Linked DNA regions of Coturnix japonica. The protein of the gene in region 2 purifies or fractionates together with the protein of the main gene of each other region. This does not show direct contact. Links are inferred from orthologs where the notes say so. Each region holds a gene or a part of one and is shown on either strand. Other genes may lie near its edges.

Region 1 (5,034 bases), on a different chromosome or scaffold from region 2:
GATCCCATCACCAAAGGAGATGATGGCTGAGCTCACCCCCCCCAGCAATAAGAAGGGACCACGGGATGATGCTGTCGGGCAGCACTTGAAGTCGTGGCTGGGACTGCTGTGGGTGCTGGGGGGGCTGCAGCTGCTGTGCGGGGGGGCGGCCTTTATCTGTGTGTGTGCTGCCATCCCATGGGGTTACAGCGCTTACAGCACTGAGCTGCTCCCTGGGGGGGGGCTGGGGGTCCCGCTGACCCCCTTTGTGCTGGCAGTGCTCGGCCTGGCCTGGCTGCTCACTGCCCTCCTGCTGGGGGTCACCACCCGCTACCATCACATCCTCTTGGGGGTCACCTGGTGGCCCCCCACCGAAGCAGGGCTCTATGTGCTGCTCTTCCTGCTCTGCCTGGCTGCGGCGGGGGCCCACGTTCACACTGTCACCCTGGGGGGGCTCTGCTCCTCCCCGCTGCCTGGCAGCCCCCTCCTCACCGAGCTCTGCCGTGTGGATGGGGCTCAGGCGGCCGCTCTCCTCTTCCTCTTCCTCACTGCTCTGCTCTACCTGGCCGGCAGTGCCGTGGCTCTCAAGGTTTGGTACCAGGGGGCTGCAGCGATTCCTTGTAGCCCTATGGACAACCTGCAGCCCACGGGGGCTTTGAGCCCCCCAGTTTCCATCCTGAAGCCTCCGCTGGTCCGAGCCAAACGTGTAATCTTCGAGGATGAGGTGGGGGTGGCAGGGAGACCCCTATGGGGGGCTGGAGTCACCACCAGCAAAGAGAGCAAGTGTTCAGGCTCGGTGCCCCCCCAGCCTGATTACATGATGTAAGTGACCATCCTCGGTGTGAAGGGGGGGGGGGGTCCATGGGGGGTCCCGTGGGTTGAGCTGGTGGTGGTTCTCCTGCAGGCGGTACCCGGCGATCCGGAGCTCCCGGCAGCGGCAGCAATACGGGGCGGTGTTCGTCGATCAACACGCCGAGTATCGGGAGCTGCGGGGCCGACTGAAGGCGGAGCGGTGGGGGGAGGATGATGATGCTGTGGGCAAGGTGGGTGTGCGATGAGATGGGGGGCACAGGGGGTGGGTGGGTGGGGATGGGGGGGGCTGTGCCTTTCTGCTCTGTAGGGTGAAAAAGGGGGGGGTCTGTGTTTGCTGTGAGCTCCTGGGGGAGAAGAGGGTGAGGAGGGTGAGGGGTGTGGGCTGCGTGGGGGGGGTCTCGGTGCTCAGCGTGTCCCATTGCCAGGATTTGGCCTTCGTGGCAAAGCAGCAGCGCTGCCTCTACCTGAAGGAGAAGCTGACACATATTAAGGCACAGATCCAGGAGTATGACCGCAACAGTGACCGCAGCAGCACCGTCCTCTTCTGAGCGGGGCACGATGGATGGAGACCCCCCCCCCAGAAAAAAAAGCCCTGTGGACACTGTGGGGCTCAGTACTGGGGGTGACAGCACTATGGGCACCCACTGCCTGCTGTATTGCAACCACTGTGGCAAAGGGAGCAAATCTGGGGGTCTCTAGTGGCTCTGCACCCCCCCCCCAGCACAAAGCAGGTGCAGCCAAAGAGGGATTGGGGCACTTTATAATAAAATCCCATGATGTTTCCGGGGGGATTCGATGCATCTCGGGGGACCCGCAGCGGGTGGGGGGCACCCAGAGCCCCGGGGATGCTCCGATGTCACCCACTCAGCCTTGCACTACGGGGACCCCCGCCCGCAGCCCCCGCTCCCCCTCCCCGCAATGGGGGCGGACAACGGCAGCGGGGCCGCCCTCGGGGCTCCCCCCGGAGGCGGAAACCGGGACCGGTCCCGTCCCGCAGCGCTCCCGGCTGCCATTTTAAGGTGAACAAAGCGGCGGAGGTGCGTGCAGGTGACGGGTTGTGCGGTGGTACGGGACTCCGGAACCGATACCGGAACCGGGGTGGGGGAGTGCGGGTCCCGGTAGCGGCGGGGGTGGTGCTTTGTGGGTCCTTCCGAGGGTCTCCGTCTGTATCCGCCGGTACCGGAGCGCTGCGAGGACCGGGTTGGGGGGGGGGGCTGCACCGGGAGGGGCTCCACGTCTCGGGGCTGTCGGGTGGGGGGACACACAGAGCCCCCCCCCTCCCCATCCTTCCCCTCTCCGGGACCTGCGTTGGGGACGGGGAGGGGGGGGTTGGGACATCGCGACCCCCCCCCAACTCCCCGCCTGCCTTCCGCTCGGGTTACCCCGCGGGGTTCGGGTTTCTCATATTGCACCTGCCGGGGGGGAGGGTCAATGCTTGGGGTTGTGCTGTGTCTGTGGGGTTGTGCCTTTGTACATCGTGGGGGGGGGAAGCTTTAGGCTGCAGAGCCGTCCCGTCTCCCCCCGTTGCCCCTCATGGCGTTGCTCCCCCCCCCCCCCCCCAACCTTCCTGCGCTGTTGCTGCAAACACCTGTGAACTCAGAGCAAAGCAAAAGCAAAGGGCGATCCTGAGTGCGGAGGGGGGGTCCGGGGTAGGGGAAGAACCGGCAGTGAACCCCCCCCCCCCACCCATTGCTTGTTAATCCCAGCAGCTCTGCTGCCGGAGGGGCCCTCGGGGGTGAGCGCTGCCCTCGGTTAATCGCTTTTGTGCTTGTTAATGAGACGACCCCATGACGCGGCGGGTCGGGCGGGCAGGGCTGAGCACCCAGCGCTGACTCACCGTCTCTCCCCGCCCCAAAACGTGCCTCAGTTTCCCTACGAGTCGCTGTGACGCGTCGGACACACGGACGGACCGACCGACCGACCGACGGCGATCAAAGTCCCCCATTGAACTCAACGGGGACGGGGAGAACCGGCGGTGTCAGCGCTCCGTCCTTCCCCCCCGCAGGTTCACCATGTTCAGCAAGAAATCCTACGACTCTCCCCCCACCATGTACGGCCCCCCCGGCGCTGATTACGGCTACGGTTCGCCCCCTCCGGGCTCTTACTACGTAGACGACGCTCCGCAGCACTTCTATAAGTGGACGTCGCCCCCCGGCGTGGTGCGGGGGCTGCAGGGGGGGGTCCTGCTGCTCTGCGTTGCCATCTTTGCCTGTGTAGCATCCACGCTCGCTTGGGACTATGGCTACGGCCTGGGGGGGGCTTATGGCACCGGCTTGGGGGGGTTCTACGGTACCGGCTACTACGGCAGCTCGTTGGGCTACAGCTACGGCTACGGGAGCTACTATGGAGGGGTGAACCAACGCACGGCGAATGGCTTTATGATCGCTATGGCCGTGCTGTGCTTCCTGGCCCAGTTGGGGCTGTTGGTGGCTGCTCTCAGTAAATCAGGGGCCACACGCTCACGGCGATTCTACCTGGCTGTGCTGGTGCTGAGCGCTGTGCTGGCCTTCGTCATGCTCATCGCATCCATCGTCTACATCATGGGGGTCAACCCGCAGGCACAGATGTCCAGTGGTTATTACTACAGCCCCTTGTTGGCCATGTGCAGCCAGGCTTATGGTGGCACCTACCTCAACCAGTATATCTACCACTACTGCACTGTGGATCCGCAGGAGGTGAGTGTGAACCCCCCCCCCAATAATGATTTAAAGTCAGCCCTTTAAGGTTGTAGTGGGAGCAATTTGGGGTCAGAGTGTCCTGATGGAGATGAGGATGCGGTGTCCCCCCCCCATAATGATTTAAAGGCAGAATGAGGTCGTAGGGGGAGCAATTTGGGGTCAGTGTGTCCTGATGGGGATGTGGTGTCCCCATTCTTAATGCCCCCCCCCATTTGTGGTGCTGCTGCATTGGGTGGAGGGGAGGGGGATGGCACCGTGTGGCCATCAAAGCACAGGAGTTTCGGGGAGGGGACAGGCTGTGCCCCAACACTGAGCTGCTCCCGGGTACTTTGGTCTCCAGGCTTGTAAAAGGACTTGAGCAGGGAGGGGAAGCCGGACTGTGCTGTGCTGTGCTGGTTGGGGTCAGTGGGGCAGAAGGCAGCAGGTTCTGCACGGCCCCGGTTTCGGCTGGGGCCGTTGTAGGGTTCCTGTACAGTGCTGGGGTGGGACCGGTGCTGCTGGTTTGTGGCAGCCGGGCTGGATGTGCTGCATTCCTGCACCTTGAGCATAACACTGCTGCACCGTGGAGGAGGGGGGGGGGACACAACATGGTGCTGTGCTCAGTGCCCCATAGAGCTCCATGCTCAGCTGACCCCAATGGAGGTGCAGTGTTGGGGTGTCCCCTCCGTCTGCTCCCATGATAAAACCCAGCCTTCAGCCCTACAAACCCCATGGTGGCTCTGTGTTGTGGACTGCCTGTCTAACCTATGGGTGTCTATGGGGGGAGAGCTGCCCCATTCAGCCCCACACGGGGGCTGGGTGAGTGCAGACCCCTTCAGCCCCCCCCTCCCTGCTTCCCCTCCAGGCTGTGGCTGCTGTCTGTGGGTTCCTCATTGCCATCCTGCTCTGCCTCATCTGCTTCTTCGCCCAGAAGACACGCAGCAAGATCTGGCGCTATGGCAAAGCCAACATCTATTGGGACCGTGCACCCGTAGTGCAGGAGGGGCCCGATGTGGAGGAGTGGGTGAGTATAGGGGGGCAATGGGAGCATCCTCCTCCTACCCTGAGCAGGTTGGGAGCTGGGAACGTGGCTGTGCCCCATATCAGGAGCTCCTCCTGCTACAAACAGTGCTGTACCAGGAGCCGTGGGGCTGAACTCCTTCCCCAAGCAGCCCTTTTATTTCCCTTCTCTGGCCCTAAAGGCAAACAGGGTTGGATCAGATGGGCCGGGGGCCAGCAGTGCTGAGCCCGTCCCTTCTGTCCGCTCTGCACCGGCTGCAGGCACTGCTGGGTTTCGGTCTCGTCAATGATTAACTCTATGTGCTGACACACACACAGCCATGTCTAGGTCCCACCTGCCCATTCCCAGCCCCATAGGGATGGGTGTGATGTGCCAGGGGTCTGCAGGTTCTGCACCCCTCCGTGTCTGTGTGCCCACTGTTTGCTTTTCCTTCTGCACAAACATCTTTGTTCGGGTTTATTTATTTTCATTCCACGTCCCTCCCCAGCCCGGCATTTCCTGCTCCTTGGGAGGGTTGGGGCACAGACCCCACACCCAACATAGTCCATAGCAGTGTATCCATCT
Region 2 (4,788 bases):
CCAAAGAAGTATTACTACACAGCCTCAGAAAAGAGCATCTGTCCACGAAGAAGCTCATCACAGCCTGCAAGATTCTCATGTTGCCTCAGCCCAGAGCTGGAATGAGGCTGCCGCTCTGAATGAAGACAGCTTATTGACTTGTTAGACTCTGCTAACTGGCAGCATTATGACAGCACTTTTTTGCATCCAGATACAGCAAGACCGTTAAGAACACCCTACTCATCTCATTTGGTTCCTATGTATTAAATTACAGTGCCTCACAAACACGGGTCTGAATCAGCAGCTCTAGACTCCAGCAACTTCCTTCATCACTAGAATCAACACCCAACTGCCTCCAACAAACCTCACCCCAAAATGACCAAGTTCCACATTAAATGCAGTCAAATTTCCATCTACACCACTTCCCACAGCAAGCTGCAGCATCTGTTTTGGACCGCTCTCTGGTTTATACTCAGGCAGTCTACACCAGTTTATTGTGAACTCATCATGAGACGTGGGTATCCACCTTCTTTGTTTTCATTCCTGACTCTGCTTTTCTACAACAGGAACAGAACTTGGATTCCAGGGAGGAAAGTAGTAGGAAATTGGAGTGACAGATGCTCCATAAAGAAATAAAGCATCGCTGTTACCTTTTTCATTTTCATTCAGTAGGATTCAGGTGGATTATCTCAACCTACAAAAAGATGAGTATTTTAACCCTTTTTTATTAAATTACGCCTTTTGCTTCCACTTTCACTAAGTACCAACATATCAAAGAACTCATGAATCTGACTGCTTAAACAAAACGCTTTTTGTTGTTGTTGTTTTCTTTTTGCTAAACTAAAACGAAAGAAAATCAGCATCCATTGATTATAAAATTGGTCAGTTACACATTTTGTTTATGCTTCTTGGAGATTCTCAGTGATTCAGTTCTAGAACACACCTTTGCTTTCTGTGTTGGAAATAGACTCTAATATCGCCTTGATTTTAGTAATAACAGTATCTATTCTTGTCTCTTATATTCACTTTTTCTTAGTGGATTATTTGATACAGACTAAGCTCAAAAAAACCACCCCAAACTAAACAATAAAGTAACCTTAAGCATTTCTGTAAATGCATCGGAGAATAGTATTTCTTACATGAGCATAAATTCTATTCAAAGATAATGCCTAATGCTATTAAAGTTCTCGAAGAAAAAGTGACTGCATAATATCATGTCACCTACTAACAACAACATCCTAGAGATACGCTGCCAAACCTGAAATAATTCATAGATATCGCTAAAAATAAAATAGAAATGATCTTATTTCTCCCTAACACTCTTAGCTAACTAAATCTCCATGAAGCCTACCATTGCAGCAATACTGAGACAAGTCACAAACGTTACAAAATGCACAGCTCTTAGCACACATCAGTGGGGATCCACTCTGTTGTTTTGAAATCCCTCAAAAAGCACAGCATTTTGCCAGAAAACCAGGCAATATAGAGCTGATCTAACTCCAGCTGCAGACATCACATCAAGGAGAGAGTGAAGAGGGAGCTTTCAGACTTTTAAAGTAAGTAAATGCAAATAGCCTCATTTTAACATGTCTAAAAACGTTTCCAAGAAGACATAGGAAATAAGAAATAGAACAAGTGCTAGTGTTGTATGACGCATAATTAGACTGTCAAAAGAAGTAATATATCGATGGATGTTCTTCTGTGCACAGACAAGAAAAGCACTGGAGGAGAACGGAGCAGGTACAGTGGTAGCACTTTATGTAACTTACATAATCAAAATCAAACCACTGAATATACTATAAAACCTTTAGATTTGAGTAAATGTAATAAAATTATCTGCATGACAACGTATGTGTAAGACTACATTTGATCTTGTGCATTACAGTTAATAGAAATGGATCTGCAATCTGTTTTATAGTAAGATTTGGAACTAATGACAGAGCTTATTAGCTATACATTGCTCCTGCAAGGGACGCATTTCCTTGATACCGTGTATGCTAACTGGCAATACTGGACGGGGGGAGGTGGTTTAAGGGAAAAGCACATTGTAGAATAATTCAGGTAATCATGTATTTGTTGGGGCTGCCGACATGCAAACACCTCTGTCCCTGCAGAGGGTGCCCCTCTAAGCAGCATGACCTACCATGCCTTCTATGGCACTTCCCTTCACCGTGAGCGAACAAGTACAGTGAAAGAAAGAAACACCGGCACCACTTTGTCTTTCTGAGGAGAGAAATTCTCGGTGTGCGTTTGTTCTCAGCGGTTCCCCCACGAAAAGCCCGAGCTCGTGGACCTGGCAGCTTGTCCTGACGGCACATCCCGCTGCCTCCATGCAGCCAGCAGCGGCCTGCTCCCGCCAGCGAGTGCTGAATAGCACAGTGCCATATGCTTGTCGCTGCCCTACTCACCCACATTACACAATTACACTTTAATACATTTTTCATAACGTATTGTTGATTCGGCCAGAAAAATCGGTTCAGCACACCCATCGGCGAGCAAGAAAACACCGACAATGAGTCGAGGAAAAGTCCATTTCAGCATCTCAGCCGCCGCACCGAGGCCCGCACCGCCGCCCGGCCCACCTGCCCGGAGGGAGGCACGGCCCGGCGGGCTGGGACTCGGAGCCGCCCGTGTGAGCGCCCCGCACGCAGCGCAGCGCAGCGCCTGCCCGGCCGCGGCAGCGCCCCGCGGGACGCCGAGCGGGACCGTTCGGGCGCTGAGTCGCGGGCAGCTCCCGCGGGGCGCTCGGAGCCGGAACGTCCCGCCCTGAGGAGCGCGGCAGCCCCGGGCCCGCAGCGGACCCGCACGACGCTCCGCGGCCGCCGCCCGCCCGTCCCCGCCCGGCCGCAGAGCCGCCCGGCCGCGGTGCGTTACTCACCACAGCTTCCTCTTTAAGGGCATCAGACTGCCCCTGTTGGAGGCGGTCACCCCTATGGCCATCTGCAAGACAGTCAGGTATTTCTGATACTTCATTTTGCCGTCGCCCCCCCTGTCCCTGCCGCGTCCCCGCCGCCGCCACCGACAGAGTCTCTCCAGCCGCTGCATGCAATCATCAAATTTTTATTTCCAGGCATCTGCCGTCCCTGCGTCGCGCTCCTTCCCCTCCTCCTCCTCCTCCTCCTCCTGCCGCGCTCCCTCGCTCTCTGCCCCCCCGGCTCTCGCTCTCCTCCTCCTGCCGCACTCCCGCTATCTCTGCCCCCCGCTGACGCTCTCCTCCTCCTCCTCCTCCTCCTCCTCCCGCCGCGCTCCCGCCATCCGCGCTCCAGCTGACGCTCCTCCGCCTCCCGCCGCGCTCTGCCCTCCCCCCGGCCCGCTCCTCTCCTCCTCCTCCACAGCCGCCCTGCTGCCCGCATCCCCCCGTTCGCACCTGCCGCTTCCCGTCTCCCGCACCGCCGCTGCCCGCAGGCCGCAGGCCGCTCGCCCCTTCCTCACCTGCGCCGCCTCTCGCTAGGCCCTACCTCCCCCCCCGCCGTCCGTCCCCTCGCGGTCCGTTACCCCGCATCCCCCCCAGCCCTGCGGGCCTCCTTCCCCTCCATCCCTGCCCCTTTCGGACGCCGCGTTGACCCGCTGCCCGGCCCCGCTACCTGTGCTTTCCCCCCCGCCCATGTGGCGTAGCTGTGGCGCTGCCCTCCCGCCATCAGCGGGGCGCCATGCCGCAGCCCGGCCGCGCTGCCTCGCCCTGATCTCCTTAGCGCCCGGAATAGCCCCGCGCCGTCCCGATCTGCCCCTGCCGCCACACACGGGCGCTCGTGGCCGTCGGTCACGGGGGGAATCGGCGCGGTACCCGCCTGGGCGGCGCTGCGGAGGCGGGGAGGGGGAAGGTGAGGTGAGGGTGAGCGGCAGGAGCTGAGGTGCGGTGAGAGGGAAGTGCGAAGGTGAGGGTGAGAGGATGAGGGTGGAGGTGAGGGGAAGTGAGGGTGAAGGCGAGGTGAGGCTCAAGGTGGAGCTGAGGTGAGGGTGAAGGTGCAGCGAGGTGAGGGTGAAGGTGAAGGTGAGGATGAAGTTGATTGTGAAGGCTGAGGTGAGGATGGAGGTGAGGAGGTAAAGGTGGAGGTAAACGTGAGGTGAGGTGAGGCGTGCTGGGCTGGCAGGACAGGGCAGCGCTTCCAACCAAGCCTCCTTCGGGATGAGGAGGGATGTGCACCTCTGGATCCTTCAGCAAATGTAGCTGACAACATAACCGTAATAGTCCTACGTGTGACCATTATCATTACAACCTTAATTTGGTTTGTGCCCTCTTCAAGTTACACACTGAGAGCTGTAGAAAGAAGTCCAGCTCTTGATGAGTGCTTTTGGAATTCATTGTAAACATCAGAAGACCCATCTCTGAGCAGCCATACCTGAGATGAAGGGCAGCACGGGGCTGTTGATAAACAGCAATTGGAAATATGGCTAGAGATAGCTGGTGGCTGTGCCCCGGCAGGAAGCTCCGAGTTATCCTTAATTCAAGTCTGAAACCTTCTCAATCTCAAGTAATATGATAAATCCACTGAAATGGGTCCATTTCTTTCTAGGATATTCTGTAGATGTTCTGATACATATGTTGAGAGATAGTTGTTAAGTGTTTTAATGCAAAAAGTTCTTTTTCTTCCTCCAAACTGTCAGACTAGGGGAAGATGAAGGTCCCTTGATATCATCTGGGGTATTTTGGTTGTTCCAGTACTCCTAAATTATGTAGATATTTTGCAGAATATAGATAAGAGCAAATCCATTCTGAAGTGACAACTTTCTGTTAAGATAACACATAAGGGCTGCTCCAAAAGTAATGCCTCCTATTTCGTTCTGCTGCCCCACAACATGAGTTGGGTG

What was found.
Region 1: the proteins of TJP1 (region 2) and OCLN purify together in Homo sapiens (affinity purification with western blotting; 4 studies listed by BioGRID and IntAct, with this or other methods). This does not show direct contact. The link is inferred for Coturnix japonica from reciprocal best matches to the Homo sapiens genes TJP1 and OCLN.

The regions. Positions count from the first base shown.
Region 1 is NC_029543.1:2,404,982-2,410,015, forward strand, and holds the start of OCLN (occludin), read left to right. Parts: upstream 1-1,735; 5' UTR 1,736-1,829; intron 1,830-2,659; 5' UTR 2,660-2,804; coding exon 2,805-3,467; intron 3,468-4,314; coding exon 4,315-4,473; intron 4,474-5,034. Other genes in the region: OCEL1 (occludin/ELL domain-containing protein 1), read left to right, coding at 20-801, 884-1,022, 1,218-1,340. UniProt on the Homo sapiens protein: May play a role in the formation and regulation of the tight junction (TJ) paracellular permeability barrier.
Region 2 is NC_029525.1:5,215,187-5,219,974, forward strand, and holds the start of TJP1 (tight junction protein ZO-1), read right to left. Parts: upstream 3,040-4,788; 5' UTR 3,025-3,039; coding exon 2,858-3,024; intron 1-2,857. UniProt on the Homo sapiens protein: TJP1, TJP2, and TJP3 are closely related scaffolding proteins that link tight junction (TJ) transmembrane proteins such as claudins, junctional adhesion molecules, and occludin to the actin cytoskeleton.